Linked DNA regions of Oryzias latipes. The protein of the gene in region 1 interacts with the protein of each later gene in a biochemical or structural test. Links are inferred from orthologs where the notes say so. Each region holds a gene or a part of one and is shown on either strand. Other genes may lie near its edges. The genes, in order: B-cell lymphoma 3 protein, nfkb1 and nfkb2.

Evidence for each region.
Region 2: the proteins of B-cell lymphoma 3 protein (region 1) and nfkb1 form a complex in vitro, tested with the Homo sapiens proteins (2 studies listed by BioGRID). The link is inferred for Oryzias latipes from reciprocal best matches to the Homo sapiens genes BCL3 and NFKB1.
Region 3: the proteins of B-cell lymphoma 3 protein (region 1) and nfkb2 form a complex in vitro, tested with the Homo sapiens proteins (2 studies listed by BioGRID). The link is inferred for Oryzias latipes from reciprocal best matches to the Homo sapiens genes BCL3 and NFKB2.

Annotation. Positions count from the first base shown.
Region 1 is NC_019874.2:21,828,318-21,838,521, forward strand, and holds part of B-cell lymphoma 3 protein, read left to right. Parts: intron 1-384; coding exon 385-493; intron 494-6,711; coding exon 6,712-6,913; intron 6,914-7,331; coding exon 7,332-7,420; intron 7,421-7,504; coding exon 7,505-7,582; intron 7,583-8,010; coding exon 8,011-8,178; intron 8,179-9,388; coding exon 9,389-9,482; intron 9,483-9,555; coding exon 9,556-9,665; 3' UTR 9,666-10,204. UniProt on the Homo sapiens protein: Contributes to the regulation of transcriptional activation of NF-kappa-B target genes. In the cytoplasm, inhibits the nuclear translocation of the NF-kappa-B p50 subunit.
Region 2 is NC_019868.2:30,825,620-30,835,823, forward strand, and holds the start of nfkb1 (nuclear factor NF-kappa-B p105 subunit), read left to right. Parts: upstream 1-1,034; 5' UTR 1,035-1,289; intron 1,290-2,195; exon of another isoform or gene 2,196-2,214; intron 2,215-5,361; 5' UTR 5,362-5,366; coding exon 5,367-5,405; intron 5,406-5,960; coding exon 5,961-6,045; intron 6,046-10,204.
Region 3 is NC_019873.2:12,630,731-12,640,934, reverse strand, and holds the start of nfkb2 (nuclear factor NF-kappa-B p100 subunit), read left to right. Parts: upstream 1-871; 5' UTR 872-886; coding exon 887-1,053; intron 1,054-1,648; coding exon 1,649-1,685; intron 1,686-3,220; coding exon 3,221-3,296; intron 3,297-3,475; coding exon 3,476-3,516; intron 3,517-4,944; coding exon 4,945-5,043; intron 5,044-5,150; coding exon 5,151-5,302; intron 5,303-5,452; coding exon 5,453-5,565; intron 5,566-5,825; coding exon 5,826-5,984; intron 5,985-6,060; coding exon 6,061-6,165; intron 6,166-6,243; coding exon 6,244-6,332; intron 6,333-6,456; coding exon 6,457-6,595; intron 6,596-6,709; coding exon 6,710-6,829; intron 6,830-6,931; coding exon 6,932-7,090; intron 7,091-7,184; coding exon 7,185-7,326; intron 7,327-7,427; coding exon 7,428-7,542; intron 7,543-7,616; coding exon 7,617-7,824; intron 7,825-7,892; coding exon 7,893-8,062; intron 8,063-8,144; coding exon 8,145-8,247; intron 8,248-8,315; coding exon 8,316-8,494; intron 8,495-8,572; and 7 more. UniProt on the Homo sapiens protein: NF-kappa-B is a pleiotropic transcription factor present in almost all cell types and is the endpoint of a series of signal transduction events that are initiated by a vast array of stimuli related to many biological processes such as inflammation, immunity, differentiation, cell growth, tumorigenesis and apoptosis.

The DNA.
Region 1 (10,204 bases):
AGGAAGAGAGAATGCACAATTATGTCACAGAATATAGATGTTTAGACTAGGGACACACAAAACAATTAGCAGCTGGCAACTACTTAATTAAATTCTACTAATCACATGATGGCTCAGTTGGCTGCATGTAGGACTGGCACCTGGGAGACTAGGGTTCCTTGTTCTGATTCACAATCATTTGAATAAAGAAATACTTAAAAATGCAATTTTGAGCCTCATTTTCCTAATATATTGCCTCCATCATCAGAAAAATGCCACAATAACATGTTAAAAAAACCAAAACATACTTTTCATGCGAGTGGGATTTGTGCCTGGAATGTTTTTTAGAATGCAATAAGTGTTTTGTTTGCTAATTGTGCATTTGTGTCTTTGTTCTCACCATAGAGCCCTCCATATTGCTGTGGTGCAGGGAAACTACGCCATTGTCTGCAAACTTATCCACCTTTTGCTGTGCGCTCGCAGAGGACTTGACATCTACAACAATCTTCGTCAGGTGAAACTACAGCTTTAGAATTTACGCTTTACATACCTGCCACAGACACAAGGAAAGGAAGTGCCCCAAGGGTTATACTGAATTAAAACAATTATTCATGGATTCAACACAATTTCAAATTGAAAACCCCTAATTCTATATTTATTTGCTAAACAAACAAACAAACAAAAAACACACAGAGCCAATAAATAAATACAGATGTATTCATATAGCTTTCTTGTTGTAAGGCGACACGACCACGCAAGCCCGTTTATTCAACCCTCAGATGATAAAAAAATCAGAAAGTGACTTTTTTTAACATAAGGAAACATCTCAGATTTTTTTTTTTTTTTGCCCCAGGAAAAAACGTTTCACCTAAATGGTTAAACACTTGATTTGAATTCTTTAAGGGTATTTAAATGTTTTAAAATAGAAAGATATCTTCCGCTACTGTTCTATAGTTAGCAATCTGTGATTTTGTAGGACATAGTTTCTGCAGAGCGGCAGTAGTTCATAGAAATTCGCCTTTTGAGTTAAGAGCATAACTGTTGGCACGAAGTAAGCTTACCCTCAGTTCCCATCATCCATTTGTTTACCCTCTCTCTCGCTAGCTTACAGCCTCTCACAACCCCAACCTAACATTAGTGGTGCAACAAAAATGGTGACTAATTTCGTAGCAATCCAGTCGTACATTTCTGAGCCAGATGCCAGCTCAGACGAGGAAAACAAATATGTACAAGGATCTTTTTTTTCTGCAAGTGGATGCATCTGAATGGAATGGAGTGGGTAGCTTGAGGCTTAACATAGTAGCTTCTAGGTCACACTTACAAGCTTTTACAATCTAAATTTTCTGGCCTGCTCTTGATTCACAACAACTTGAAAAAAGAAATACGCAGAAATTGCAATTTTAATCTGAATTTTCTTCACAAATGTACTCTGTCACAAGAAAAATCCAACAAGAACATGTCAGAAACACCAAAAACATGCTTTTCATTGAAGTGGGTCTTTAAGTATCTCTAAGACACAAACCCTTCTCTCCTTTCCTATCTAATAATGCTGATATGTTAAAAAAGGTTAAAAAAAGAAAAACATGAAGAGCATTGGTTTCCGTTTTGCAGCTTTCTGTGTTATCTCACACTCTTACAGTCATGACAGTTGAGGTCCATGCACAGGAATTCACCCTTCCTGGTTTCTCCACGTGTGGTTGCCATAACCTCCAACAATGTGCATTTTGGGAAGGACTGTGCGTGCTTTCCCATGTTCTGTTTTTTATATTGTTTATGGTTCTTCTAGCAACCAGTTTCCCTTTAAGTAGGGATTTTTCACACTTAACGTGCAGGGTTTACCAGATTGTGAAATTCAAAATAAGGATGATTGAGGTGCATGGAATGCCTCCTGTTAATGTCTATGCATCTCATAATTGCAGAAGCTCGGGTTGTACAGGTTCCTGCCTTGCATTAGTAGTAGGTGTCAGGAAATAACGTGGAGTTTTGACTATCTGGAGTGGCATAAATTTACAAACAGATTCAAAGCAATGTCACTGGCATAACTAGTCTGTTTGCAGATTTAAAAAAAAATTAAAAGTTTCATTTTCTAAAGTCCCACTAGCTGTCACACACCTAGATGTCTGAAATGTGCTCTCCACATTTGACCCACCCCCTGGGGGAGCGGTGAGCTGCAGACACCATTTGGTGGTTTCACCCCCAACCCAACCCATCAATGCTGAGTGTCAAGCAGGGAGGCATTTCAGATTTAGTAACCTTATATGACCTAAACTGCAGCATACTGGAATGTGCACAAGGATTTCCTTTTAAGTGTTTCCCAATCCAGGGTTGTCCAAAGTCCCTGCCTGATTCCAACACTTCCACATGCTCTCCCCTCTCTTCTCTCAAGCTCATTACCTTCCTTATCTGCTCTCTACCAGCTGCTTTTTAAAATCTATCCACAAAGAAAACACCTGAACAGTGCAGAGTTGTTGTTCTCAAGCCTGGGTTTTTCACACCATGCATGCCACCACAGGCGCGCTTACCAGAAATTATGCAGCCATTTATCACTGGTGGCTCATTTTCCTTATCAGAGAGGTTTGACAACCTGGCTTTTGTTGTAAACTGCCTTAGCCATGCACATGAACGTTTGCACACACACTCCAACCGTCTCTTCACGCACAGATTTTTTTGTCACTTGCAGTTACGAGCAAAGGGAGATTTGCAGACGCGGGTCCCGTCACCATCATTTGCCTACCAGATTGTGTGGTTTTGACTGAATACCAGGAATAAAGAATACACTAATCTAAATAAGGCTGCAGGGAACTTTTTAATTTTCAAAACATAAAGCTTACTAAACAAACCTTGAGGACAATTTCCAGCATTGGCTAACTTCTGATGCACAAAAAACAAAAATTGTTGTATTTTCCAACATTGATGACAGATCCTGTGTTTTTGTGGTTTTTATTGGGTACAACGTTTTGACAGAGTGTTACTATCAGTGTTGTCACTGAGCAGTTCTGCAGGGCTCTGTGTGTGATTTGCCTCTTTGCTCTTTGATACTCCCACTTTGGTCATGGTACCCCTGCAAAGACAATCAATAGTTTCATTTGCTGCTGTTGTGACAGCTGACGGCGTTGCTGGTGGAGGCACTTACAGTACACTGGTGGAGTTTCGTGACTGAATCCCTCAGGGCCACCTACACACAAACTCCCATGTGCAGCGAAATGTAGTCCGCGCTGAGCAAATGTTGCCACACAGAGAGTGTGCCACTGTTCAATAGTTGTGTGTGTGTGTTTTTTTTATGTGATCTCTTTTATTGTCTGTATGAGCTTGTGTGAAGTTGTGTGAACAAAGAAAACGTCTGTGTGTGTGTGTACTTTAGTATCTATGTTCCGAGAAGTCACATGACCCCCCCCCCTCCCCCCTCCCCGCCTGTCTTGCTTCAGGCGGTTTCTCAACATACCTTGCGCTGAGGTTCAGAGGGTAGTTTACAGGGACTTTCCCTTCCAGCGCGTGCTGGTCTGGAAGCCACTCTCTCTCTGATATCTTTTTTTTAATATTTTTTTTTCACATCTCTTACTGTGTTTATCCTTCAACATTTCAGTAACCTACACATGTGAAATGATTAATGCTGGTGTGATGTGTGCAAACAAGTAAGAGCTCATGGTTGATATTTATTTGCACAACAGAACTGGTTTTCAGCCTCCAACGTCTGCTGCAGACTATGAGTTCTTTATGCTGCCTTCCTTCTCTCTTGCAATGTGTCTAGCACTGCCTTCAGCCTGTGGCTGTTTTTTACGTCTTTTCTCTTCCCATCTTTTTTACCCCATTCATGTTGACCGGCTCATTTCTCAGGAATGCAAGTGTGTGAGGACAGACTCAGGGAAAAGTGTAGGGATTTTCCCTCCTCATACTGTCTTTCCCCTGTGCTGCCTCCCGCCCCTTCCGCTTTTTCCTCATTCCACAGTCTCACCAAACCAACTCCCCCCTTCACTCCCTTCCTCTTATCTTTGTTGTCTTTTTTGTCAAGTCATTCTGAAATCCTTTACAGGAAGCACTGGCGTGACTTTGCCGGCCCTGAGGTGTTTGTTTTGAAGGACAAAGGAGGGTTTATCTGGGAAGTGTCCTTGGCTTAAGGGGAAAAGCTGAGGATTTGTTTGGATAAGGCAGTGATGCAGGCGTTGATATGGGTGATATCTAATTATTTTTCCATCAATATATGATGCATGTCAGATTTCCAAGTAAGTTTAGAATTGGCTCCTCTACTTATATAGTGGGGTGTGATGCAGAAGTAAAAAAAAAAAACATTTCTTTTCAAATGTATGGAATTTCCTGCTGATAAGCTTTGACATTATCCATTTCATTTGTCAGACAGGAGAAGCCAAAACCACTGTCTGTTGAGAATTGCAATCCTTAGTTTGGTAACTTTTGCAACTTTTCCAGTCATCTGACAGGGTTATCTAACGTTCACCGCTGGCAACAAACTATGTGGTAGTGTGCTCTGTCACCTGACAGCTTTGGACGTTGGTTCATGTTGGAGCTTAGGCCTTAGTTTTCTTAATGTACTCCTCCTCTTTAATCAGGTGAATTTCAGTCTGCATAGATGTGTGATTTTAAATGTAGTATGTGATGGACTAATGAACTGTCCATAGGTACCCTGCCCGCCTCCCGCTGGTTGATGATTCCGATAAATCTTCAGCTGACCTCCTATAACCCCATAACACTCTTATTTGGATGATTTGTTATAGTGATAGGTGTTTTGTTAGTGAGTCATAAAAAATAAAAATAAAACACGGCAAGTTAATCCTACAAGAACTTCTTGTAAAACTTCCTGCAAAAATCGACTGCGTTCCAGGAAGTTGGATTAGAATAAGAGAACAAGCAAATGCACCAACTTCACCATAAGATTTTATTTTAGGTCTCTTTTTTTAGACAGGTTTTTAACTCTTAATTTGGGGTGGTAAAACTGTTATTTACTTTTTTAAATAAACTAAACAAACCAAGGAGCTCGTCCCACTATGCTTCCTGTTTAATTTTCCAGTAATTCTACATGCACATGCCATGAAACTGCACTCTGAACAAAATATTTACATTTTTATTTATCAAAGAACAAATGCATTTTCATATACATAATATCCAAATGTCATTGGTTATAGTTACCTTTTCTCTGATAGGATGACTATTTCTGTCTCAACCGGCTTGTGTACAGGAGACTTCTGTGTTTTTTGATACAGATGTCAGAGAAGTGCTGCTATGTTTACAGAATGCTGCCAATCTGAGGCCCAAACGTCAGTTTGAATCAAATTGAAACTGAAATATGAACAAAATCCTGACAAAACCATCTTGAAGCACAACATTGGGCCTGATTCTTCAAAGCATCGAATCATCGAATGCTGGATTAGAGTTTGCTGAAACTCTCTTGGGACTCTTTATTTCCCAGAAATAAGATAGTGGTGAGGCCTCTTTTGCATAATGTTATTTAACTCTAAGGACATTTACAGAAGTGAATATCTTGTAATTGTTAAAGCACACAAAAATGCAACTCATAGAGTACCCAGAAGGAAAAACTGAATGAGGAATGCTTGGATTTTGTTCTCTTGGTGCTTAAGGGCCTTTTTCTTTCTCAACTCCCTTTACTGGAACAAACCTTCAACGTGCACACACACACAAACACACTTTGTATTCCAGTTACTAAAATAGCAAAAGTGAAACTTTGAGATGAAGTATGTTCCCGATTGAATCATTTTTATAACTTAAATAGCATCTGAAAAAGCTGTGTCAGGTCACTTCTGCGTTTGAACTGAACTGTATTGCCTGATTCAAATGAGAGGCTTGTTCACATGGCCACTTTTACATGCTGACCTCGTCCAGATAGAACGTTTGCATTCAGAGGGATCCTGCTCGCCATACCTTATTTTAAAGAAACACCTGACGATCTTCTGACTTTGCAGAGATGACAAGTTCCACCTTTTTGAAGTAATTCCACTCCCAGGTTAGAACAGTGGACAATTTTCTTCGTTGTGAAGGCCTCTGAGTATAAACAAGTAAAAGTTTTTCACATCATGGTAAATTTACTGTAAGTCATGTAGGAATGCTAATAGTGACGGTCCTGCCAAACACATTTTCTTGTCTGTTCAGTTGATAAGTTGGATCCTAGCTCCTTTTTAAATGATCTTAGATCTCTAACCCGTTGTTCTGGTTACAGATGAAGGGGCCATTTTCTTTCAGAAAAAAAACTTTACTTACAGGAAAGAATGAAGTGCTGTTGTGTTTTCAAAAGTCTAGACTTCAATTGGGTTTTGTCTGCTCCATTTACTTTGCAAGCTCAAGCCAACTTGCAGTTAAGAAGTCAGAAAAGAAGCAAATGAGATATTGAGCCTCTGTTAGCTTTTAATGCTGCGTAACACCTACAGCAAATCGAATTTGTTGCAAAACAGTGACCGTTGTATTAAAAGCAGTAAACACTTTCCTCAAAAAATATGACATCCAAGGACAAAACTGCAAAAATGATGGCAGGTTCTATGAAAACTAAATTGTAACCAAACAGAAAGATTTTAACAGGATTTGGGGGGATTTCCATTGTCAATCATTTATTTTTTAAAGATAGTCTCTGTTCATTTTTTTATTTGTCACACAAAATAATAAAGTTTGTATACCCTATTGTTGTTTGGGTTTTTTTTGCATTGAGAGAATAATTTCCTATTTGTTTGAGTTCTGGCCCTGAACCCAGATTTTGCTGTTGTCTTTCTGCAGACTCCTCTTCATCTTGCAGTGATAACAAAGCAGGCTACTCTAGTGGACGCTCTGCTGGGAGCAGGCGCTGACCCTTCCGCTTTGGACCGTCACGGCCAAACAGCGCTCCATCTCTGCTGTGAATATGACCAGCGGGACTGTCTGTCTGCACTGCTGTCTCGATCTTCATCCTCCCCGTGCCTGGAGGCTAGAAACTTTGAGGGTAAGTTTTGAGTCTAGTGAAGAAGCTTTATCTGTATGGACCATTTATTTAGTCAAATATCATTCTAAAATGAATCAAAATGACTATAGGGGGTGATTTCTATTCCTGCACTTCTTTCTTTCTGTTTTTCTTTTACTTTACAATGAAACTGTTAGGTTGCCATGGAAATAGTTTTTCAACCAAAGTTCAGGTAGAGGTTAGAGTCTTGAGGTTGTGCGGGATGAAAACATTTCCTTCTTCAGTTATGGTGTCCCGGTTTTGTGACTCTGGCAAATATGCATGCAGAACAGGAGACATCATCTGTGTGAAAGCTCTCAGAATGAGTATTGACAGAAGAATAGTCTACAGGGAATGCAGAATTAGAATCTTTGATGTTCAGTTGCTTTGCTAGAACTCAGGCTTTACTTAATGCTCACAGGTTTAACCCCCCTGCACATGGCTGTTCAGCAAGGCCATCAGGATTTGGCAAAAATGCTGCTGGATGCTGGAGCTGACATCAATGCTATGGTAAGTCCGTGTTGCAGCTTGATTTTACAGTCTATCAAAGTTTTCAATTCTTGATTTTCAGATGTTTTTTTTTCTCCCAATCAGGACATCAAGAGTGGCCAGAGTCCTCTTGTACATGCCGTGGAGAGCAATAATGCTGGCATGGTTCACTTCCTCGTTGAGGTAATGAGATTGTGTGGGCAGGGAGAAAAGAGAAGGGCTGTGACTCAGCTCTGTCTAATAGGGCTGGTTCTCTCTTTGTCCAAACTTCAAAGAAAATTTTCCAAAGTGTCATCTTTTTAAATCCCGCTATGGCCACTATGAACAAAGGTGTTGTCCTTCCTCTAATAAATGCCCAGTTTAGTTTAGTCTGTTTAGTTAAATCAGTTTAGAATTTTCCTATTGAATTCTATGCATTCATGATTCTTATGATTTTATGTTTACTTTACTTTACGAAGCCCATTGAGACGACTGTTGTTGTGATTTTGGGCTATACAAATAAAAGAGAAAATTAATTTAATCCGAATACAATTTGTTGTCTTTTTAAAACCCATCTGCTGCTACTGTGGTTTTCTGCATGAATCACAAATAAATCTGTTTCTTTGTTACAGAATCGATGTGACGTCAACAGACAGTCATACAGCGGGAACACCGCCCTGCATGTGGCCTGTGGCCGAGGTCAGGTAGACATCGTGCGGGTTCTACTTAAAAGCGGAGCTGACAGTAGCCTGAAGAATTACCACAATGATACACCTGTGATGGTGGCCAAGAACAAAAAAGTAAGAACAATAAGAAAATAATGTATGTTGTACTTGATCCATTAATAGATAATTGTGCTCATATTTTCTAAATCCTGTCTCAATCATAAAACAAAATAAAAATATTTATTTGATTTACATGCTCAAACTCCAGAAAAAGAAAGAAAAAAAAATTAAAGCAAGAAGAGGTTTAAAGGTGTGTGTATCTTCCCCTCTAGTGGACAAATGGGGAAGATGCAATATTTACGGTGGCCCTGAAGTACAAATCACATCAACAAATTGGCACTAAAACATTTTAAAGATCACAACCACAATTACAAATAAGAAAAAAAATACCTTTAAGAAATTACAACAAAATTCCAGACACCAAAACACAACCCCCCCCCCCAAAAAAAGAAAAAAAGAAAGAAAAAGAAAATAAAACGGGAACATTTTGGAAAACATAAGTACCGGTAGTTTCCAGAAATCATGAAATGTTTAAAAAACGGAATACGACATGAAACCAGAAAAGGTAGGTACTATAGGACATTGCTGGTTGGAGGATGAGATTTGATTTATGACATTTGAGTTTTTTGAAATGCGTCTTTATTGTCCACATACTGTAAAATGTTTTATAATTAGTCCAGAACATATCCAGTATGACTTCATGCCAAACAACCTTCGACTGAAATGATGGACAAACGTCATCATCCAATCAGCGATGTCCCATAGTACCTACCTTTTCTGGTTTCAGTCAAAACATTTCAGAAAACTAGTGATTTCCAGAGGAATATGTGTTAAAATGTGTTATTTTATACCAGTTAACTGGTATAAAATAAATGTAAGCACATTGTAACAACATGCAACTCAGTGACTGAGAGAAAAGCTGTCTCTGGTTTGTTCCAGAGCTACAGAGAGATTTACATCTCCTCAGGCTAGTGTGGGTTCTTTGGGGGGGTGGGAGCACTTTCTCCACAGTTAATGACACACAAGATAGTTTAGTATGTAGTCTTGGATTTTGTGTCATGTTTTTCCCCCCTATTCTTCTCCCTGCCATAACTTTATTGTTCAAGTTTATTGTTCATGCTGAACTCCACCTTTTTCCTTATCAAAACTGAGTTCAGCCCCTCCCACTGACCCTGCATGAAGAAGCACACACCCTGTAGGCTGGATAAAACAGATGCAAGATCAATGCTGCAAAATTCACCCAAATACCTGGATATCTTATTGTTTACGGTTTGCAAATCTGCAGATAATAGATGTGTTGCGGGGGAGAGGGACCAAGCAGATCAGAGATCAGAACTGCGTGTCAGTATTAACACATGGGAGCACTTTTATGGAAAATGGTGAGATCATAAACAAAGTCATAAACGAGTTTTCATGGACTATAAAATGATTTATTAATTTATATATTTATAGGTTCCCCGTCTTCCAACCAAAGCCTTGGATCTTCACCCTCCACAACGCCCCACGCCCTTCATTCAAACTACTCTCCAAGGACTTCATCTGCACAGTTTTCCTTTTATTAGCTCATTATCAACCAATGGAATTTGCAACTACCTCCAAACAAGCAAGCATCAAAGAGATAACAGATGTCAGGGCTCTGGACATACAGAGTCAAGCTCTGTGAGGTTGAAACTACAATATTCCAGATGGAATCTGACTGAAGTGAAGATCACCACAAAAGACAGTCATCGTCACAGCTCTGTCTGAGCTCCCATGTCTTTAAATGCTGTATTTCAATCCGTGTGGTCTTTATGGAACTGTGGACATGAATGTTTTCTGTGTTTTAGCCACTAGAACATGAAGATTTTGAATTACTGACTTCGGCACTTCTTTTATTATTATAAAAAGAAAAACTTCCTTTACACCGAAATAGTAAAAAATATACAAATAATTTGTCACGTTTTTCTAAATGTTTGGTTTTTGTTGTCAATAAAAATGCAAAACGTATTTGACCTTCAGGTTCAAGGTCAAAGCCGGACTCAACAGAGGAATCACGTGTTTCCTACCAAAGACAGGTTTTTCCAGGGCTTGACACTAAAATTATAATTTAAAAACATGCTCA
Region 2 (10,204 bases), on another chromosome or scaffold:
AAGAAATAATGACGGACATTCTAAAATATCCCCTTACCAAGCACCAGTTGGAGCTACTGGTGCTTGAAATATTCATGTTTTCTTTGTATTATTCTGACTAGCGCGTAAATACTTGCTCTCTTTTTCAGAGTGAAAAGCGACTTTAAGAATCGTAAAGTTGCGCAGCGCCACCTTGTGTACAGGAGTATTTCTGTTTTACATTAAGCGCCATCTAACGTCAGGGAATGAAATTGCATGTTCGCTCGGCTCATCGTCAGCGAAAATCGCCTGGGTGTGAACACAAAAAACGTGGCGAAAAACGCTGGCGAATAACGCCTGGCGAATATTCGTCCCGGTGTGTACGGGCCTTTAGTCTGTAGAAACTCCTGCACCTCCTCATTCCACCACCAACTCTCCTGTCATCCTTCCGTCCTGATGACCAAGTACACTCCTACCTGCCTCATCTGGGAGTTTCTCCTGACCACCCAGAGCCTACATTACCTTTTCGTACAAATATCCTTCAGGGTTGAATCTGTTTCAGGAAAAGGTATTTTGCTTTACAGGCTTGTCTGGACATCATTTAAGCTGAAGATGTTTTCTCCTTTGAAACCTTCTTTGCTGTGGATCCATCCAGAATGAAGGAGAGTCCGCACAGATATTTAGTTTGTTCTTCCCCTCAGTAATCCTTACATTTTAAAAATATTCCCGGCTCACTGAAGATAAAAAATAAACCATTTAAGAACCTGAAATTAACACCATAGCTTAAATTCTATCCCGTCTATAAATATGGTTGGTGTGTTTTTAAAAAGGAAATCCTGATCTGTCTCTAACATTACATTCTTCCTCTTTCTGGATCCTGTTGATGGTTTCGGTTTGTCTTGTTGTTCTGGTTCTGTTTGTGGATCCTCCGCGCGTCTCTTTGGTTTGTGTCGCAGAAAAGTTTTTGGGGACATTTTCGCTTTTGCGCTCAGAGTGACACCTCCTCGTTTTACCGCGCTCTCTGTTTCCTTTTACGTCACGGGGAATTTCCAAGAGGAAGGAAGTTGCTTTATTCTCACTTTAGCGCGCGCCCTGTCACCTGCGCTCGCGCTCTCCAATACGTCACTCTCTCGCGCACATTTGTTTCTTCGTTTTAGCTGTTAGAAGCTGCAGGCACGCGCTCGTGTCGTGTGATGACGCATAGCCGTTAAAAAAGGCAGAAATTCGCTCCGACAGAATAATAAACAAAAAAAACAAAAAAATGAGCGAGAGCCCCTGAGGTGAAGCGGCACGAGAACCCTCACCTGCGGACGTTCACCTGAGCTGAACAGGTAAGAACCGGGTCAGAACAGACCACGCCACTTCCTTTCACTTCCTTGTTCTTCGGACATTCGTTTTCGCGCGCGGACTTTACCACAACAAAGAGGCAAAAAGTAGAAATACACTCATTTTATTCCAAGTTTATTGTGTTAATAAGGTGACGGTCGCGTGCTCGCGGCAGTACGGCAACAAAGACAAACCATAAAGAATCTGACCGGAAAACGTTCGGAAACGAGGGAACGTCGGCTCATGGCGGTTTAAGTTTAACACGTGGCGGAATCTCTGACTGTTTGGACCGGACCGTGAACGCAGCAGTCAGACTGGAAGAGCCCACGCACGGGCTCACCGTGGGACCGACAGCAAATGTGTAAATGTGTTCTAAAAGAACGTAAACAACGAGCCTCGCGGCGTTCAGGAGGCTGAGCGAGTTCCCGCGCAGCAGGCACGCGCACAATCAGATGTTCCTACCCAAATTCCGAAGTTGAAAAAAACGCTTTAATAATTGGCACGAAGGATGGGAACATTTTTGTTTTCATAAAAAAGTCCTGGACTATCCCCGCCCCCACCCATACTGTTTACAAATAGGCAGCTGGTTTGTTTATCTGCTGCTCTGTGTTGTTGTTGTTGTTGTTGTTGTTGTTGTTGCTTCGGTTTGAACTGCCAGACAGAACTTTGAGGGTTCTGTGTTATGGGAAGGTTGATTCAAACCTGTCGATGGTGACGGTTTCTGCCTCTTCAGTTTGGAGGAGGTTCTACTGTCATCATCATCACTTTCACAGATGTTCCTGCAATTAAAGAACAAACTGTTAGAACCTCGCTTAAGTTCTTGTCTCAGCAGCTTCTGGAATCACCAATGAGAACACGATGCAAAAGGTCATGAGACCTCCACATTGGCAGGTGAAGCATCTTCTTAACTTGTGGGTGTAGTCTCTGCAGGTAGGTGTAGTAGGGCGTCTGCGTGGATGTAATTGCTTCAGTAGGGCGTCTGCGTGGATGTAATTGCTTCAGTAAGGAGTCTGCATGGGTGTAGTCACGGCAGGAAGCCGTCTGCGTGGATGTAAGTGCTTCAGTTGGACGTCTGCGTGTAGTCACTGCAGGAAAGCGTCTGCATGGGTGTAGTACCACGGCTGTGTGGGTGTTATTGCTTCAGTTGGACCTCTGCGTGGGTGTAGTTGCATCAGTAAGGAGTCTGCGTGGGTGTAGTCACTGCAGGAAGGCGTCTGCTTGGTGTAGTACAGCGTCTGCCTGGATGTTATTGCTTTAGTAGGGCGTCTGCGTGGATGTAATTGCTTCAGTAAGGAGTCTGCATGGGTGTAGTCACGGCAGGAAGCCGTCTGCGTGGATGTAAGTGCTTCAGTTGGACGTCTGCGTGTAGTCACTGCAGGAAAGCGTCTGCATGGGTGTAGTACCACGGCTGTGTGGGTGTTATTGCTTCAGTTGGACCTCTGCGTGGGTGTAGTTGCATCAGTAAGGAGTCTGCGTGGGTGTAGTCGCATCAGTAAGGAGTCTGCGTGGGTGTAGTCGCATCAGTAAGGAGTCTGCGTGGGTGTAGTCGCATCAGTAAGGAGTATGCGTGGGTGTAGTCGCATCAGTAAGGAGTCTGCGTGGGTGTAGTCACATCAGTAAGGAGTCTGCGTGGGTGTAGTCACATCAGTAAGGAGTTCGCGTGGGTGTAGTACAGCGTCTGCGTGGATGTTATTGCTTTAGTAGGGAGTCTGCATGGGTGTAGTCACTGCAGGAAGGCGTCTGCGTGGTGTAGTACAGCGTCTGCGTGGATATTATTGCTTTAGTAGGGAGTCTGCGTGGGTGTGGTCACGGCAGGAAGTCGTATGCGTGGATGCAATTGCTTCAGTTGGACGTCTGCATGGGTGTAGTACCGCGTCTGCGTGGGTGTAGTCGCATCAGTAAGGAGTCCGCGTGGGTGTCGTCACTGCAGGAAGGCGTCTGCGTGGTGTAGTACAGCATCTGCGTGAATGTTATTGCTTTAGTGGGGAGTCTGCGTGGGTGTAGTCACGGCAGGAAGCCGTATGCGTGGATGTAATTGCTTCAGTTGGACGTGTGCGTGGGTGAAGTCGCATCAGTAAGGTGTCTGTGTGGGTGTAGTCACTGAAGGAAGGCGTTTGCATGGGTGTAGTCACTGCAGGAAGGCGTTTGCATGGGTGTAGTCACTGAAGGAAGGCGTCTGCATGGGTGTAGTACCGCGTCTGCGTGGGTGTAGTCGCATCAGTAAGGAGTCCGCGTCGGTTTAGTCACTGCAGGAAGGCGTCTGTGTGGTGTAGTACAGCGTCTGCGTGGATGTAATTGCTTCAGTTGGACGTCTGCGTGGGTGAAGTCGCATCAGTAAGGAGTCCGCGTAGGTGTAGTCACTGCAGGAAGGCGTCTGTGTGGTGTAGTACAGCGTCTGCGTGGATGTAATTGCTTCAGTTGGACCTCTGCGTGGGTGTAGTCGCATCAGTAAGGAGTTCGCCTGGGTGTAGTCACTGAAGGAAGGCGTCTGCATGGGTGTAGTACCGCGTCTGCGTGGGTGTAGTCGCATCAGTAAGGAGTCCGCGTCGGTGTAGTCACTGAAGGAAGGCGTTTGCATGGGTGTAGTCACTGCAGGAAGGCGTTTGCATGGGTGTAGTCACTGCAGGAAGGCGTTTGCATGGGTGTAGTCACTGAAGGAAGGCGTCTGCATGGGTGTAGTACCGCGTCTGCGTGGGTGTAGTCGCATCAGTAAGGAGTCCGCGTCGGTTTAGTCACTGCAGGAAGGCGTCTGTGTGGTGTAGTACAGCGTCTGCGTGGATGTAATTGCTTCAGTTGGACCTCTGCGTGGGTGTAGTCGCATCAGTAAGGAGTTCGCCTGGGTGTAGTCACTGAAGGAAGGCGTCTGCATGGGTGTAGTACCGCGTCTGCGTGGGTGTAGTCGCATCAGTAAGGAGTCCGCGTCGGTGTAGTCACTGAAGGAAGGCGTTTGCATGGGTGTAGTCACTGCAGGAAGGCGTTTGCATGGGTGTAGTACCGCATCTGCGTGGATGTAATTGCTTCAGTTGGACCTCTGCGTGGGTGTAGTCGCATCAGTAAGGAGTCCGCGTAGGTGTAGTCACTGCAGGAAGGCGTCTGTGTGGTGTAGTACAGCGTCTGCGTGGATGTAATTGCTTCAGTTGGACGTCTGCGTGGGTGAAGTCGCATCAGTAAGGAGTCCGTGTGGGTGTAGTCACTGCAGGAAGGCGTTTGCATGGGTGTAGTACCGCGTCTGCGTGGATGTAATTGCTTCAGTTGGACCTCTGCGTGGGTGTAGTCGCATCAGTAAGGAGTCCGCGTAGGTGTAGTCACTGCAGGAAGGCGTCTGTGTGGTGTAGTACAGCGTCTGCGTGGATGTAATTGCTTCAGTTGGACCTCTGCGTGGGTGTAGTCGCATCAGTAAGGAGTTCGCCTGGGTGTAGTCACTGAAGGAAGGCGTCTGCATGGGTGTAGTACCGCGTCTGCGTGGGTGTAGTCGCATCAGTAAGGAGTCCGCGTAGGTGTAGTCACTGCAGGAAGGCGTCTGTGTGGTGTAGTACAGCGTCTGCGTGGATGTAATTGCTTCAGTTGGACCTCTGCGTGGGTGTAGTCGCATCAGTAAGGAGTTCGCCTGGGTGTAGTCACTGAAGGAAGGCGTCTGCATGGGTGTAGTACCGCGTCTGCGTGGGTGTAGTCGCATCAGTAAGGAGTCCGCGTCGGTGTAGTCACTGCAGGAAGGCGTCTGCGTGGTGTAGTACAGCGTCTGCGTGGATGTTATTGCTTTGGTAGGGAGTCTGCGTGGGTGTAGTCACGGCAGGAAGCCATCTGCGTGGGTGTAGTCGCATCAGTAAGGAGTCTGCGTGGGTGTAGTCACTGCAGGAAGGCGTCTGCATGGGTGTAGTACCACGGCTGCGTGGGTGTTATTGCTTTAGTAGGGCGTCTGCATAGGTTTACTCACTGCAGGAAGCCGTATGCGTGGGCTCAGTTGGACGTCTGTGTGGGTGTAGTAGGGGGTCTGTGTACTGACACCGCCCACATGGTCAATGGACAAGAAGCTTCAGATTCAGCAGATGATGATGGTTTAACCTTTGATCTCTGCAGACGCCATGGCTGGAGACGACCACTACCTCCGTGCTTCTAACCAGGTACGTTCTTCCTGCTCTGCAGGGGGTGGAGCCTGCAGAACAATGACCCAGATGTTTGTGAAAACCTCATTTTTGGACAGATGTTCATGATGTTTTCGTAGTTGAGCTGATCTGCTCTGTGAAGATCATGGTCCACATGGGTGGGTTGGCGGTTTGGTTCCCTGGTCCCACATGAAAAAGTTGGTGAACCCCTCATAACCTCCGTTGGGCGTGTTTCTTCCAGCTGAACCTTCTACCATCCTGTCCCGTCTGAAGAGGTTCCACCAGTCTTTTGGTTCCAGTTTTCTGAATGTCAGGTGTTCTGCAGGTTCTGGGGGGTTCACCAGCCTACCTGCAGCACGAGGACCAGGATGTTCTGATGAGCGTGGTTTTCGGATCGTTCTATGTTCATGATGAAGAGCAGTTCCAGGACCTCCAGGTTCCTCAGCAGAGTCCAGGTTTTCAGAGTGATCTGCTGCAAACACCAAGCAGCACAGATGGAACCGGTCTCATTGCAGAGGTGGAGTCCAGAACTTCCTCAGAACATCCTGACACCAGAACTCTGTGTGTGTCCAGCAGATTTATGGAAACTTAATCATGGATCCGTCCTGGGAGTTTACTCATTTCCCTGCGATGCCTCAGTCCACGTCTCTGCAAACAGGTGAGTCCTCGTCACAGACCGGTCGGGTGTGTCTGACCTTCAGAGCCTCCTCATCCTCGCGCCCCCGAGCAAAGGCAGGAGCCACGGGAAAACGCCAGCGTCGTTGGTGACCCCGTCTTTATTTCTGCTCCCTGAAGGTTTCTCTAAACCTGAACACGACAAACCAGATCAAACGCAGAACCGAGCTGCAGTCGCTGCTTTGTTCCGGATCGGGTTCTGAACCTCTGGTTTGGTCTGGATCCAGACTGAACATCTGTTCTGGATTGTCGGGGGTAACAGACTCTGGTTCACTTTCAGCGAACTCAATGAGTCCAGTCTAAAGAACAAACATCCAGTCAGGTTCACTGGCTGTGTAACAGTGGGCAACCCAACACACTCAGAGTCCAGGAAGGTCATTCAGGGAGTTGTTGAAGGGGGGGGGGGGGGCTGACATTCGAGTGTCTTTTTTTGTTTTTTACACATCACTGTCCTGGTTCTGACATCTCATTATACACTCTGTATGTCTGTTCAAATGTAAAATGTTCAATAAACAAAGTTATATAGATAAAACAAGAAAGGTCATTCAAGGTTAGAGCCTCGCCAAATTCACCGTCCCAGGATTTCCCATAGTAAATCTGCAAATACGCAGCAGCTGGAAGAGAAAAAATCCAATAAAACAATAAAAATATGTAAATAAAGCAAATATGTTAAATAGTTTGTACTGAAAAAACAGATTTTCTCCACAGCAGCTGCTAAAACTGAAAATGGTTCCCTTTGAAGCTGGATTTACCGCCTCAGCGATTTCTGCTTTTCTGGGACGGTTTTCACACGTGTGTGCATGTTCGTTGGAAGTTCTGCTTTCCTGCTGCAGCCTCTGCCGGTTCTCAACCTAAAGTTCTGGAAGTTGAGAATAAAGACGTAAAAGCGGTTTTAGATGAACCAGAGCAGAAACCGGACTGGTCTTTGGAAACTTTGACAGTTTGACCGACGCCTGTCTGGACCGGCTCTGATGGAATCGGCTTTTTTGGCGCTTTTCTCATAATGGAGGACATGTTTTTCTGAGGATTTCTTCATTCAAATCGTTTTGAATCAGATAAAAAAATACGGTTTAAAAAAATAGTCTTTGTGACGAAACATACGCTGGGCGGGACCACGGTCTCCAAGCTCCGCCCCTTTCTGATCATCCACGTGCAGACCAACAGATCCATGAAGGTCTTTGTTTTCCTGGACTGAGCTGAAATCTGGATCAGAACCAGACGGATGGACGGACCTGATGCTGCTCTGCGTTTTTGTTGTAATGCTAATGTTAGGTTGGGGGTGTGAGGGGCTGTAAGCTGGCAGAGGAGCGCGTAAACGTATGGATGATGGGAAGTGGGGGTGGGTTTGTGGTGAGCCTTGACGCCGCCACCGTTGAATTCCTTTCTCCCGCAGAAAAGTCGCCACTCGTTGGTCCCCGGAGCGGATGTCCCGGCCATTGGGCCCCCCGTCTCTGTTGGCGGTCACAGCCGGCGCGCATGTTGTGGTTTGGCGCTCACGCCGGTGATTACGGCGTCCTTCATCCGCCTTACTGGATGGACATGTCCTTTGTCTCCTGTCCAGTCTCTTCTTCATGGTTCACTCTGTGGCTCTTCTTGGTTTTGTTCCGCTGAAACCTGAAAACTCCAATATTTAGTCAAACTAACAGATACGTGTTGCCATAGAAACGTCATGATTTGGGTTAAGCTTGGTTGTCTTCAGCCATGATCACTATTCTTCATGATTATGCGACTTTTCCAATGGAGTAACACGCATTGACCCGGTGACGGTGTGCGGCCGTGGTTCCTGCTGTGGCCCCGCCTCCTGCAGCAGCAGGTCATCTGAAGGGTCTGTCTCCATTAGGGTTGTGCCGATGGACGATATCATCGTCCATCGTGATGGGTGACTGACATCCCGATGGAGAGACCACCATCGTGATGCCACGCCCCCGCCACGTTGCGCGTCGACATCATAAGCCGCGGTTACATGTACAAAATATCTTGATGGGGTCAATGGTCGGATTAGAATCCATCCGTGTACATGGGCCCAGAAAAATGTTTTCAGAATATAAAAACGTTCACTAAGGTCACAATTTCGGTCGGAATAAATCATTCGCACACGCGCAGTTTGAAAACCGGAAGAGGATATAACTTCCGCCGAGCGGCTTTTTTTCCAAACTTTATTGAATGTAACAATTCAATACAAAACAATGTTAAACAGCGCCGAGCGGCTATATACATTGACATGTCAGCTCGGTAAAATACGAGACGATCTTCTAAACGTGCTTTTAATAATGTTACGGTTATTATGAAACACCTGTTCGCTCATCATTTGAATTTTAATCCGTGTGGTCAGTGCTTTTTCTGAACGGAGCCAGGATTAGCAGTATGCTAACACGGGCTAACAACATTAGCTTTGGGTGGCGCTGCATCCTGTGAATAACATCAGCCTTTATTTAGTCGGGACACGACTGGAAACACAAATCCACGTGATTGATTGAATGTTTTCTAAGGACTGAGCGACATTTCTGCTTTGAAGCTCAAACCGCTGTGTGCTGACGATCCGAACTGTGCTCAGACACACGTTTAGACCCGGTTCTGAGTTTGATAGCTTGTACCCCTAGAGCTGCGGGACGGATCGCAGTCTTAAATCTCCCACACATACCGCTCATGTACCCCCCCCCCCCCCTTCCCATCAAACATAAAGCTGTAAATCCGCCCTCCGCCGGTCCACTTCGCTAGTTAAGTGCGGGAGCGGACTACTTCTTTTCTATTTTGCTTGTTACTTTTTCTGTTAAAGTCACTTCCCTCAGTTTATACTGGATCATCGCGGATTAACCATTAGTTGGGAAATAAAATGAAAAAAGCAAAATAATGAATAGCAGTTATATAAGAACGAAAAATTTAAAAAATACCCCCCCCCCCCCCCCCCCCGACGATGTCATCGTCCATGCCGATGGTTGACAGCAAACATCGTCAACGGCCAAATTAGGGGACATCGCCCAACCCTAGTCTCCATTACTCCGTGATCGCAGTGACTCAGCCCCTCCCACACACAGCTACATAAGAGGGGTCACTCCACATAAGCTCTGTTATTTGTTTGGAGGTTTTGTCGTTTCCCTTCATTTTATTGTTCTTCACCTTCACATTTGGGCCGTTCTTGTCTTTGTTTTGACCATCTGATGATGTCAGATGCTGCATGTGAGCCGCTGGGCCAATCAAATCCCAGAAATCAGGAGCAAGCAGCCAATAAGGAAAGAGAAACTGAACAGTCGGAAAGAAATCAGGTTTCCTGCAGTTTCATCTTTCATTGAGTGTGAATGATTGACAGGTGGAGACGCTGGCTTCAGTGTGACAGCGTCATCTTCATCTGGGAGGGGCTTCTTCCTCCTCAGTCGGTTTGTGGTTAGGAAACCACTCCAACTTATTTGACAGGGAAATGATGCCAACAGGAAAACGTGTGAAGCACCAGGAACGGGTTTGACTTGGTGCCGGCTAAACAAACCAAACTCCTGCCCCGGTTCTGCAGACCTTTCTGGATCTCATACTTTCAGAGCACCCCCCCAGACCAGAAGGGAGAAGAATACTCCCCCCCCCCCTAACAGGGCTCCAGACTAACCTTTTTCACTAGGAGCACAGTGGCCCCCTACTGAAAATTTTAGGGGCACAACCAGAAAATTTAGGGGCGCATGGCGTAAATCAACATGCTAACCAAATCTACTAATTTCCACCGTATTACTAATAAATACTTTAATAATAGATGCAGAAATTACAATGAGCTGTTTCTAATTCAGTGTCACATTTTATTCTGCACTTTTGAAGATGCAACAAGAAGGTAAACTGACAGCAGCATCGCTGTCACGACAGTACAACTAAGTAAAAATAGTAAAAAAAATACCATACATTTAGAATAAAAAAAAGTTTTTAGTAACAAAGTGATTACCGTAGTAACCTTTTGGTCATTTCACAGTTTCAAACGATACTTAAATGTATGTAAACATTAGGGGATGGAAATACATGTTGGTGACACCAAATAGGTTCAGCCAAGATGCACAATAATTTGAAATCACCCAGGTGAACTCAACGCTGCACAGATCACCTGGTGTGAGATGTATATTTTTGTTTTTGCTCCAACATCACCTGTCAATCAAAACAAAAATATCACG
Region 3 (10,204 bases), on another chromosome or scaffold:
AATGTTGCAGGTATTGAGCCTTCCAGGTCACTGTAGTTTTCCTCTGACCTGCAGCGTTCATCAAACGTACAAGAACTTTGTTTTGAAAGTCTCTGAGATAGCAGAGGAAGCACTGGACTTGTTTTATTGTTATTATTCTTTATTATTTTATTGTTTTATTCTGAAAATGCAACATTTTATTGAACAAAGATCATCAGAAGATCTTTGTGTTGCTGTCATGTAGAGTTCTTCAGATTCACTTGTTTAAGTTTTACATCAGTTTTTAATATAAGGGCGTGAATTGATGATTCTGTAATTATGTAAAGAAGAAAAAGAAGAAGTTGTCTCAGATGTTCGCTCCTCAAAGAAGGGTAGTTCGGCTTCCGAGGAAGCAGAGAAGAAATGAGAGCAGCCAGAATGAGTAGCTGGAAACGTTTCTGCAGCCCGGACAGAGGGATGTGGTGTTGGGGGAGGAAGAATCTGAATGTGGGGGTGCTGCCGTGCCTGAACATCAAAGTGACACTTTCGTGAAAGCAGAAAAAGCCTAGGTGTTCCTTCAAACACCAGGAATGACGTTTTAAGGGAAATACAGATCCTTTCTTGAAGTCATGACACCATCAGATTAATTATTAGATGATCAGACAATCAGACTGTTCTGTTTAAGTGCAGCTTATTGGAACTTTGATGCTGTTGCCATGGCAACCACCTGCCAGGAGCAGGTTTCAGGATGAGAGCTGGTGAGGTAGTTCTGTAGATTCCTTTGACTTCCCCGTTGGGTTTTTGCCCCCTTTTATTATTTTTTTGCACTGTTGGACTTTTATGTAAACAAGGGTGGTGATGCAGCGCTCTGATTGTCTGGCGCAGTCTGAAGGGGGACGTCCCGCCGCTGAGGGGAAAGGTGCTTCAGATGAGGACTGAGTCAAACTGTGATGTGAGGCGGGTTTTTCTCAGAGGGGAAGAGACAGGAAGTCAGACAGAAAAGGCAGAGACGCACGGCGAGCCGAGCAGAGAGGAAGTGAAGTGTCAGAGCGTCGCCGCTGAAGGAACCTGCAGAAGGTCTGTTCGCCGCTTCAGGTCTGTGCTTTGCCTGTGTGACAACTTCACAGAAAATACTCTGATTACAGTCGGTGCATCCTCACAGGAATGTCAGACTTTTACTTTGAAGAACCAGTTTCCTGGAGCCTTCAGTAAGCATAGGTCACCAGAGCGTAACACAGAGAGCTGGACTCGTTGGTGGGTGGAGCCTCCATGTTTCTTTGTTTTTTTTTTCTGTCCCGAAGAAACATGCAGCCTTTCCGGGTCAGAGTGATCCGTCTGCAGACTCAGACCTGCAGCTGACCCGGCTGGAATCCGAGTCCAGAGCGTCATAGGCTCTGAGCCACAAGAGCTTTTCCTTCATTCTGACTGACATCATCGCCCCGCCCCTCTGCTCTCTGCTTGGGATTCTGGGGGTTTTCCTCAGCTCGCCACTTCCAGGAAGTGACTGAAAACAACTGAGGGGAGGGGAGGGGGGGAGTAGCAGTGAGCGAGAGAGAGTTGGAGTTAGCCTTTCTCGCCCATGTTGTGAAAGTGAAAGTGCTGCAGTTTGTTTTTGAGACTCTTGGAGTCTGTGAGGCGTTCAGAGACTGAAGGGATTCTGACAACTGCTGTTTGTGTGTTTGTGCTACAGGATGAGCGAAGCTTCCTTCATCAACTACGACAACGAGGTCAGTCTTCCTCACCTCTCTGACAACTTGCTGACACATTTCTAATCTTTATTTCTGTTTAAAGACCCACTCCAATGAAAATCATTGGTTTTGGTGTTGTTAACATATTCTTGTGGCATTTTTCTCATGATGGAGGACAAATGTTAAGAAAATAAAGATTAAAATGGCATTATTAAGTATTTCTTTATTTAAATGACAAAAAAGGAGCACTGTTGGAAAAAGCTTTTAAATGTGTCGTACAAATTAATACAACAAGCCACAAGCTACCTGCTCTGCTCCATTCTGATGCATCGACCTGTAGACAATTACATCCACCAACGTCTTTGTCTGACATCTGGCTCAGAACTGTACAGTTGGATAGCTCCAAAATTGCTCCAGGGATTGGCCCCAGGGTTGGGGTTGTGAGGGGCTGTAAGCTAGTGGGAGAGCCTAAAAACAGATGGATGACAGGAAGTATCAGGCTTGCTCCGTGCCAACAGTCCTGCTCACAACTCAGACGTGAATTTCTAATGAACTGCCGCTCTGCACAAACTCTGTCCTAGAAAAAGACAGGTTTTTTCTTTTAAATTTGGCTTAAAACGGTATAATCATAATTAAAAAACCACTGGGAACACTAAAAATAGATCAAAAAATGATCGTAGTTGGACTTTATGGAAGCCAGGCTTTCAGTCTGTTTTAAATTAGAACAAATAAATCTGACATTTTCCTTTTGTCATAATGTCATTAAATGAGTCTTGATTTCTCGTTATTCACTGTAATTAGACTATGGAACACCGTCTTGCATGATGAACAAACTGCAGCTATGAGGAAACAGACTTCAGTCAGTGTTTTGAATCTGTGTAATTCTTGGAATTACGCTTCAACCATGAAGTAGTGAAAGTCCCTGCAGCTCCAGAGTCATGTGTGATCATCTGACCTGCTGCTGAAATTAGTCAGAAATGTTCAGACGGAGTGGAGCTCCGTCATCAACTGAGCGATGATGATGATGATGATCTTCTGAAGAGCAGCTGTGGAGCCAGAATACCAGATCTGACCCTTTCAAGAAAATGATTGGATTGCTGTTTTCATTTTTTTTTCTATATTTTAAATCGATTTTGGGGATTTTTCTTAGAGACAAATTCTTTTATTTAAGTGACAAAAAGCAGAAATAAACAAATTTATCTATAAACCAAAGTCAGAGGTCAGGTTTTAACAGAGACACTTTTATCAGAACAATAAAAACATATTCAAGCTGAAATCACAGAGGATCTTCAGGAGGGAGCTTCAAAATCCAGATGATGTTTGTTTTTAAAATCAGGGAGTTGTGTTTGTGCATCCAGAGACAAAAATGACACAAAATCCACAGCTTTGCAATCAATACGTGCGGTGACCTGAACGCCATCACTATCTTATGGTTAGAAAACTGCTTTTTATCAAATGACTCCTCCTGCAGCTCTGGGCAGCTGGCCGGGTCCAGCTGACCCGTTCCTGCTCAGAACCCGGCCGGTGTTCATAATCAGGCTGTGATGCTAACCGTGAGCTTTTCTCTCCTTCAGCTGCAGCTCAACCTGATGCCTTATGACTACATTCCCCCAGTGGACATAAAGACTGAACCCTACATACCTGAGACAGGTGAGTTCTCTGGCGTCTGTGTGACGTCATCGCACAGTTTGCTGCAGAGCCAACTTCTCTCCTGCTGCCCAGAGCACGCTCAGTCAGACCTCTGCCATCTGCCTCCACCTTCCTGCAATGTAGCTGCTGAAGTTGGCGTGAGACCTGCAGCTCATACGTCTGCTGTGTTTGTGTTTCAGTTCACGGTCCGTACATCCAGATCATCGAAGAGCCCAAACAGGTGAGAAATTGGTATTGGTATTTGGGTGAAAAAGTTAGCGTCTGGCGACACCAATAAAGTTAAAGTTAGTTGTCACACACCTAGGTGGGTGAAATCTGTTCTCCACATTTGACCCACCCCCTGGGGGAGCAGGGAGCTGCAGACACAGCAACACTTGGAAAACCATTTGGGGGCTTAACTCCCCAGTCAAACCCGCTAATGCTGAGTGTCAAGCAGGGAGGCACTGGGTACCATTTTTAAATTCTTTGGTATGACTCGACAATGGATTTGACTCCACAACCATCCAGTCTCAGGGCAGACCCTCTACCCCAAGGCCACTGAGTTGGTGCATTTGATTGGTTCTTCTTTTTGCTCACAGGCTTTTATGAATGTGGAAGTTCTTGTAAACATTTGAATGTTTTTAGTATTGGCAGTTGTTTTTTAAAAATAAAAAAGCTCATTTTAAAACGTGGACAGGTATCTTTTGAAGCTTAAAACAGAAGTTGATTGATTTGGTGATCAAACCTGTTTGGACTCTGAGCAGAGCTGCTCTGGATTACATCAGATTACAGAGACGCTCCTGAGAGTCAATCTTCATTTTTGCAGCCGTGCACAGATTCTTCTCATTCAGTCGTCTTCAAAAGTTCTTCGTGAAAACAAGATCTTGATGAGGATGACGAACAGCTGACACAGACGATGGTGGGAATCCCCCCCCCAAGGCCCTCAACGGCCATTTCCTATTATCCAGGGCTTTCCCAGCACTCATTTACCAGCAAAGTCTGGTGTGATCTTCCTCTTCATCATGACAGTCTTTGTTATTAGCTCTGCTGCAAACAGACCCAAACAGGCCGTGACCCCGACGCCATCAGAACCAGAAAACTGACATTCAGAACTGCTGCTTGAATGAATGGCGCCTCCTGATGGACAAAGATGAAAAAACAAAACATGACAGAAAACCCAATCGGAACAGGAATGCATTCATTGGTTTACTTACAGATAAATGTTTGTGTCATCCCAGCCCTTTTTGGAAGTGAATTTTTCCTTGGGCTCGCTGTGGCGTAGTGGTTAGCGATCTCGCCTCACAGTGAGAATGGTTTGAATGCCAGCTGTGTGGAGCGTGTATGTTCTCCCTATGCATGCGTGACTTTTCCCCGGCTTCCACAGTCCACAGTCCAAAAACATGCTTCATGGGTTAATTGGTGACTCTAAGTGTGAGTGTGTGTGGTCCTGAAACAGACTGGTGACTTGTTCAGGGTGTACCCCCCTTCACCCGATAGTAGCTGGGTTGGCTCCAGCAACCCCATGACCCCAAAAGGGATTCAGCGGGTTCTGATGATAGTTTGCAGATAGCTGGAATTTTCCCTCATGACCTTCACCTGTCAGTCAGCAATCTTTGGTTTTAATGGTTCTCTGGTGGATACTTACCTGCTGCTCTCTTTGTGCTTCCAGAGGGGCTTTCGTTTCCGCTATGAGTGTGAGGGTCCGTCACACGGCGGGCTGCCAGGGGCCTCTAGCGAGAAAAACAGAAGGACCTACCCGACAGTGAAGGTGAGTGAACCAAAGCCGCTTCAGCTGCAGACTGCTGCTCCTTGGAGGCTGGAACAAAAACATCCTATGGCCCGTTGTGTCTGTAACCGGCTGTGTGTGTGTCTTAGATTAACAACTATGTGGGTCAGGCCCGGGTGGAGGTGCAGCTCGTCACCCACACCGACCCCCCGCGAGTCCACGCCCACAGCCTGGTGGGGCGCAACTGCACCGAGAGCGGCACCTGTGTGCTGGACGTCGGCCCCAACGACCTCACTGCCTCGTTAGTATCCAATCCCATAGCTGCATCAACACAACACATTTAAATACAACCTAAACCCAAGGGACAGACTAAATAGTTCTGATGGATTTAGCATTATCACCTGTGCAGAGTCAGGCTGATTGATAAAGAATGTGATGTCACTTCCTGTAGGTTCAGTAATTTGGGGATCCTCCATGTGACCAAGAAGGGCGTGGTCGATGTTCTGACCCGAAGACTGAGGGAGGAAAGGAGGAGACAAACCGGAGGACACTGTCACCTGACAGGTACACACACGTTGAGACCTGTGACAACACACACACACACACCCATACAAATAGTCACACACATGCATAAGTACGCACACACACAGTTTGACAAACACAACTGGGCAAATACTCAAACACACACGTGTGGAAGTATTCACATACATGTGCAAACACACGCTCCTGTTTACATACACACCTGTTCAAACACACAAACTCAGATGCAAATACGCAAACCCACTTAGATCTGTGAGCACTGATGATGGAGTGTGTGTGTGCAGATGCTGAAGAGGCCTCCATCCAGAAGGAGGTGAAGGAGCTGAGTAAGAGCATGGACCTGAACATTGTGCGGCTCAAGTTCACTGCCTACCTGCAGGACAGCAACGGAGGCTTCACACGCGCGCTCAAACCTGTGGTGTCCAACCCCATTTATGATAGCAGTGAGTGTGCACGTTACTGCACATGCTTAGCACTGATGCTCACCGCAGCTGGAAGTGACACGTGTTTCACCTACAGAGTCGCCCAATGCCTCCAACCTGAAGATCTCCAGGATGGATAAGACTTGTGGCTCTGTACTCGGAGGAGATGAGATCTTCCTGCTGTGTGATAAAGTGCAGAAAGGTGAGGACCCTCCCCCATCCCGAAGGTCAAACCTGTGATAGATGCGCTGATACGCTGACGTCCCATCGTGTCCTGCAGATGACATTGAGATCCGCTTCTATGAGGAGGACGATGAGGGCGGCTGGGAGGCGTTCGGGGACTTCTCCCCCACCGACGTTCACAAACAGGTTGGTGTTCCTGCTCAGTCACAAACTCCTTCACTGGTTAATGTTTGTGATGAAGAACCTGCTGAATGATTCAGATTAAATCAGAGCTGCTCACCTTCCTTTTTCAACGTGTCTGTCTTCTCAGTATGCCATTGTGTTCAAGACGCCGCCGTATCACAGCACTGAGATCCAGCGGTCTGTCACCGTCTTCCTGCAGCTCCGGAGGAAGAAAGCCGGGGACAGCAGTGACCCCAAACAGTTTACCTACATACCACAAGTCCAAGGTGAGGCGGCGTGCGTGCGTGCGCTCGTGCATGTACCTGTGCAGGTGCTCAGTGGCTTTGCTTCCATCTTCAGGATCGCGCAGCAGAGAAACATGACAGTTCTTCTTTTTTCAGACAAAGAAGAGGTTCTGAGGAAGAAGCAGAAGCCACTGCCTCACTATGAGTCCTGGAGAGGAGGGGGAAGAGGGGGAGGCGCTGGGGGATTTGGGGGAGGAGCCAGTGGAGGAGCTGGAGGTATTTAAAAAAATAATTTTTTTGTCCTTTTGCTGCCTTCCTGTGATGCCATCGAGGCATCTGGGTTGTGGATCAGACTAATTCTCTTGTTCCCCTTGGTAGGATTTCAATTCCACCAGCAGATGAACGGAGGAGGAGGCGGAACTTTTTACTCAGAAGGGTTCACAGGCTTTACTGGAGCAGCTCAGATGTCAGGCTCCGCCCCCCAGCAGAGCGACAGACCAGCAGGCTCACCACTGCAGCAACAGCTGCTACAAATTGGTAACACACCTGGAGGAGGAGGAGCTACACACATCTGCCTCTAGTTTGTTAACTAATTTTTTGTTAACTTTTATTTTTTATTTTTTGCTGGCAGCTGCCACGCTCAACAACCGTGTGTCTCAAAGCGCCCGGCAGACCGCCGCTGCCCTGCTGCAGTACTGCCGCACTGGGGACACTCGCGCTCTTCTCGCCATCCAGACACACCTGTGCAGCGTCCAGGACACCAATGGAGACACGTAAGTGACCCACCCATCGGTGTCACCTAAACTCCGCCTTCACTGCTGGTTCAAGGGGGGGTTTTAAGGTGTGTTGCTGACGCTGCTGTCTGCCCTCCCAGGCCGCTGCACCTGTCCATCATCCACCTGCAGACAGGTGTGACACAGCAGCTCATCCACACTCTGCTCAGCAGCCGGCAGCAGCGGATCCTGAACACCACCAATCACCTCCAGCAGGTAATCACCTCTCACGTTTTAGCCACGCCCACCTCCCACCTGCCTGCTGACTCATCCCTCTCTGCTCGCTCTAGACTCCCCTTCACCTGGCGGTGATCACCCGTCAACCAAAGGTGGTGGAGGCGCTGCTGAGGGCGGGGGCTGACCCCACCCTTCCAGACAAAGACGGTCGGAGCCCTCTCCACCTGGCAGCACTGGCAGGCGACAGCTCATTGCTCCGCCTCCTGCTGTCTCACATGGGAGAACGCCACAGCCACCTGGTGAACACGCCTGACTACCATGGTGAAGGAGGCGCCGTATGCTCTTCAGTCGTGGCGCCGACACTTTGTTTCAGAGCTGTCTGTCTGCAGGTCTTCAGCCGCTGCACCTCGCTGTGAGGAGGGACGGCGAGCGCTGCCTGCGTCTGCTGATTGAGGGCGGAGCTAAAATTAATGCCCCAGAGCAGAAGAGTGGGAACACGGCACTCCACCTGGCTGTGAGAGAAAACCTGTTCAAGGTTGCCTGCACGCTTATCACAGAGGTAACACAGCCACCAGGGAGGGGTCTCCTATATATACAGCAACTTATGGCTCCGCCCCTAACATGACACCTTGCATCCTCAGCTAAAGGCGGACACCAATGCCTGCACGTTTGGAGGAAACACGCCGCTGCACCTGGCCGCCAGCCTGGGCTCCCCCACGCTCTGCTCTATGCTGATCGCAGCAGGTGAGTCGTGCCGCCAATCGCAGGCCCCCCTGCTCTGCCCACATGCTCACCTGTCTGGTGCTCCTCAGGCGCAGACAAGAACATCCAGAACGACGAGCCACTCTCCTGCAGCTCCTCGTCAGATGAAGAAGTGGACGAGAGCGAACTAACCAGGGAGGAGCTCGCGGAACGAGCCGCTTCTCAGCCAATCAACACTCGCAAGAGACGGGCAGGACACACCCCTCTGGACCTCGCCACTTGCCACAAGGTGACACATCCTCAGGAGCGCCTCTGAGGAGCCGAGCCGGGTCCAGTTTCTAATGTTTGCCCTAACTTCTGGGTCCAGGTGAGGAACCTGCTGCAAAGCGGCCAGAGTCCCACAGCAAGTCGCCACAGCAACAAGAAGATCAAAGCCAACAGCGGTGAAGGTAGGTGCTCACATGCATGCTAACAACATTCACACCCATGCATGTTCACTCTAACACGCTGCCGGGCTGCAGGCGCCGAGGGGTCGGGGCTGAACGAGGACACGCTGGCCCAGCTGGTGGAGGTGCTGAGCGTCAGCGACATTCCCTGGATAAAGCTGGCGGAGAAGCTGGGCATGATGACCCTGACTCACCTGTACCAGGATAGCCCCACCCCCTGCCACCACCTGCTGCAGCACTACAAGGTAACATGCTCACACACATGTGCATGAGCTCACAGGTTTTCAAATACCGACAAGTCCAGAAACGCTCCTCTTCTGCTCATCAAAGAATAGTCATTAGAAAGTCGGTGCAGACGACCTGTGTCTCGATCTGTGTTCACAGTGGAGGTTCAGTAAAGATCCACTCAAAAGAAAATAGTATTTTGGAAGTTTTTAGCATGTTCTTGTAACATTTTTCTGATGCAGGACATGTATAAAAATAGCTGAAAACTTTCTGAGTTTTTATAATTGTTGTGAATCAGGAGCAGAGAAAAAAATGTCGTTTTGAAAAGCCTGTAGTGACGTAGGTGGTGCAGTGGGCGGGTCACTTGCTCCATTCTGATGCATCCACCTGTAGGACACTAGATCCATGTCCATTTTTGTTTTCCTTGTCTGAGTTGGAGTCTGACTCAAACCTGTACACCTGGATAGCTCCAATATTGCTCACCGTTTTTGTTGCACTGCTAATGTTAGCTTGGAGTTGGGAGGGGCTGGAAAGCTAGCAGGAGAGAGTGCAAACAAATGGATCATGGGAAATGAGGTAAGGTTTACTCCGCGCCAACAACTCGGAGGCGAACGCAAGAGTTTTGAACATGTAAGCCCAAACGCATATTAACACTTGTTTACGTAGACCTTTCATTGGAAACTGCCGCTTGAACACACGTTGCCAAGGGGGGTGTGAACGTAGCTTTGGAGTCTGCAGCTCTCCAAAGGTCCAGGATGCTCCTTCATTGCTGCTGAGTTTATCCATCCTGATGCTGCATTTAGAGAAGATCCAGGCTGGACTGGTCAGACTGTTCAACCTACTTCTGGTTCTGCTCCCCCACAAATGGGGCCATCTTGGTTCAGATTGTTCTTTAAGGATCACGTTCCTTAAGAATCTCTGAAGATTTCTGAGATTCCCTTTCACACATCCCCTCACTGTCGGCTCTTGTCTGCGTTTGTGTCTCCAGCTGGGTGGGGGCGCCGTGGACGATTTGGTAAAAGCTCTTCAGTCTCTCGGTCTGACAGAAGGAATCCGCCTGCTGAGGAACGCAGAGCTGCAGGAGGATAAGCACAGCACAGGTGAGCTCCAGACAGTTGTTTGTCAAACTCCGCCCCCACCAAATGGAAGAAACCCACGTTGAACAAATCAGGTCCAAAGAGCAACTGTTTGCCTTAAAGCTGGATCTGCTATTTCCGGTCTGGTATTTTTCTGACAGAAGTTCCTGCGGTCTCCAAAGGCTTGTTGAGTTTGTTCTTCACAGATCTCATCTTCTCTCATCTTTGTGTTCCATCAGACGCCACTGTTGA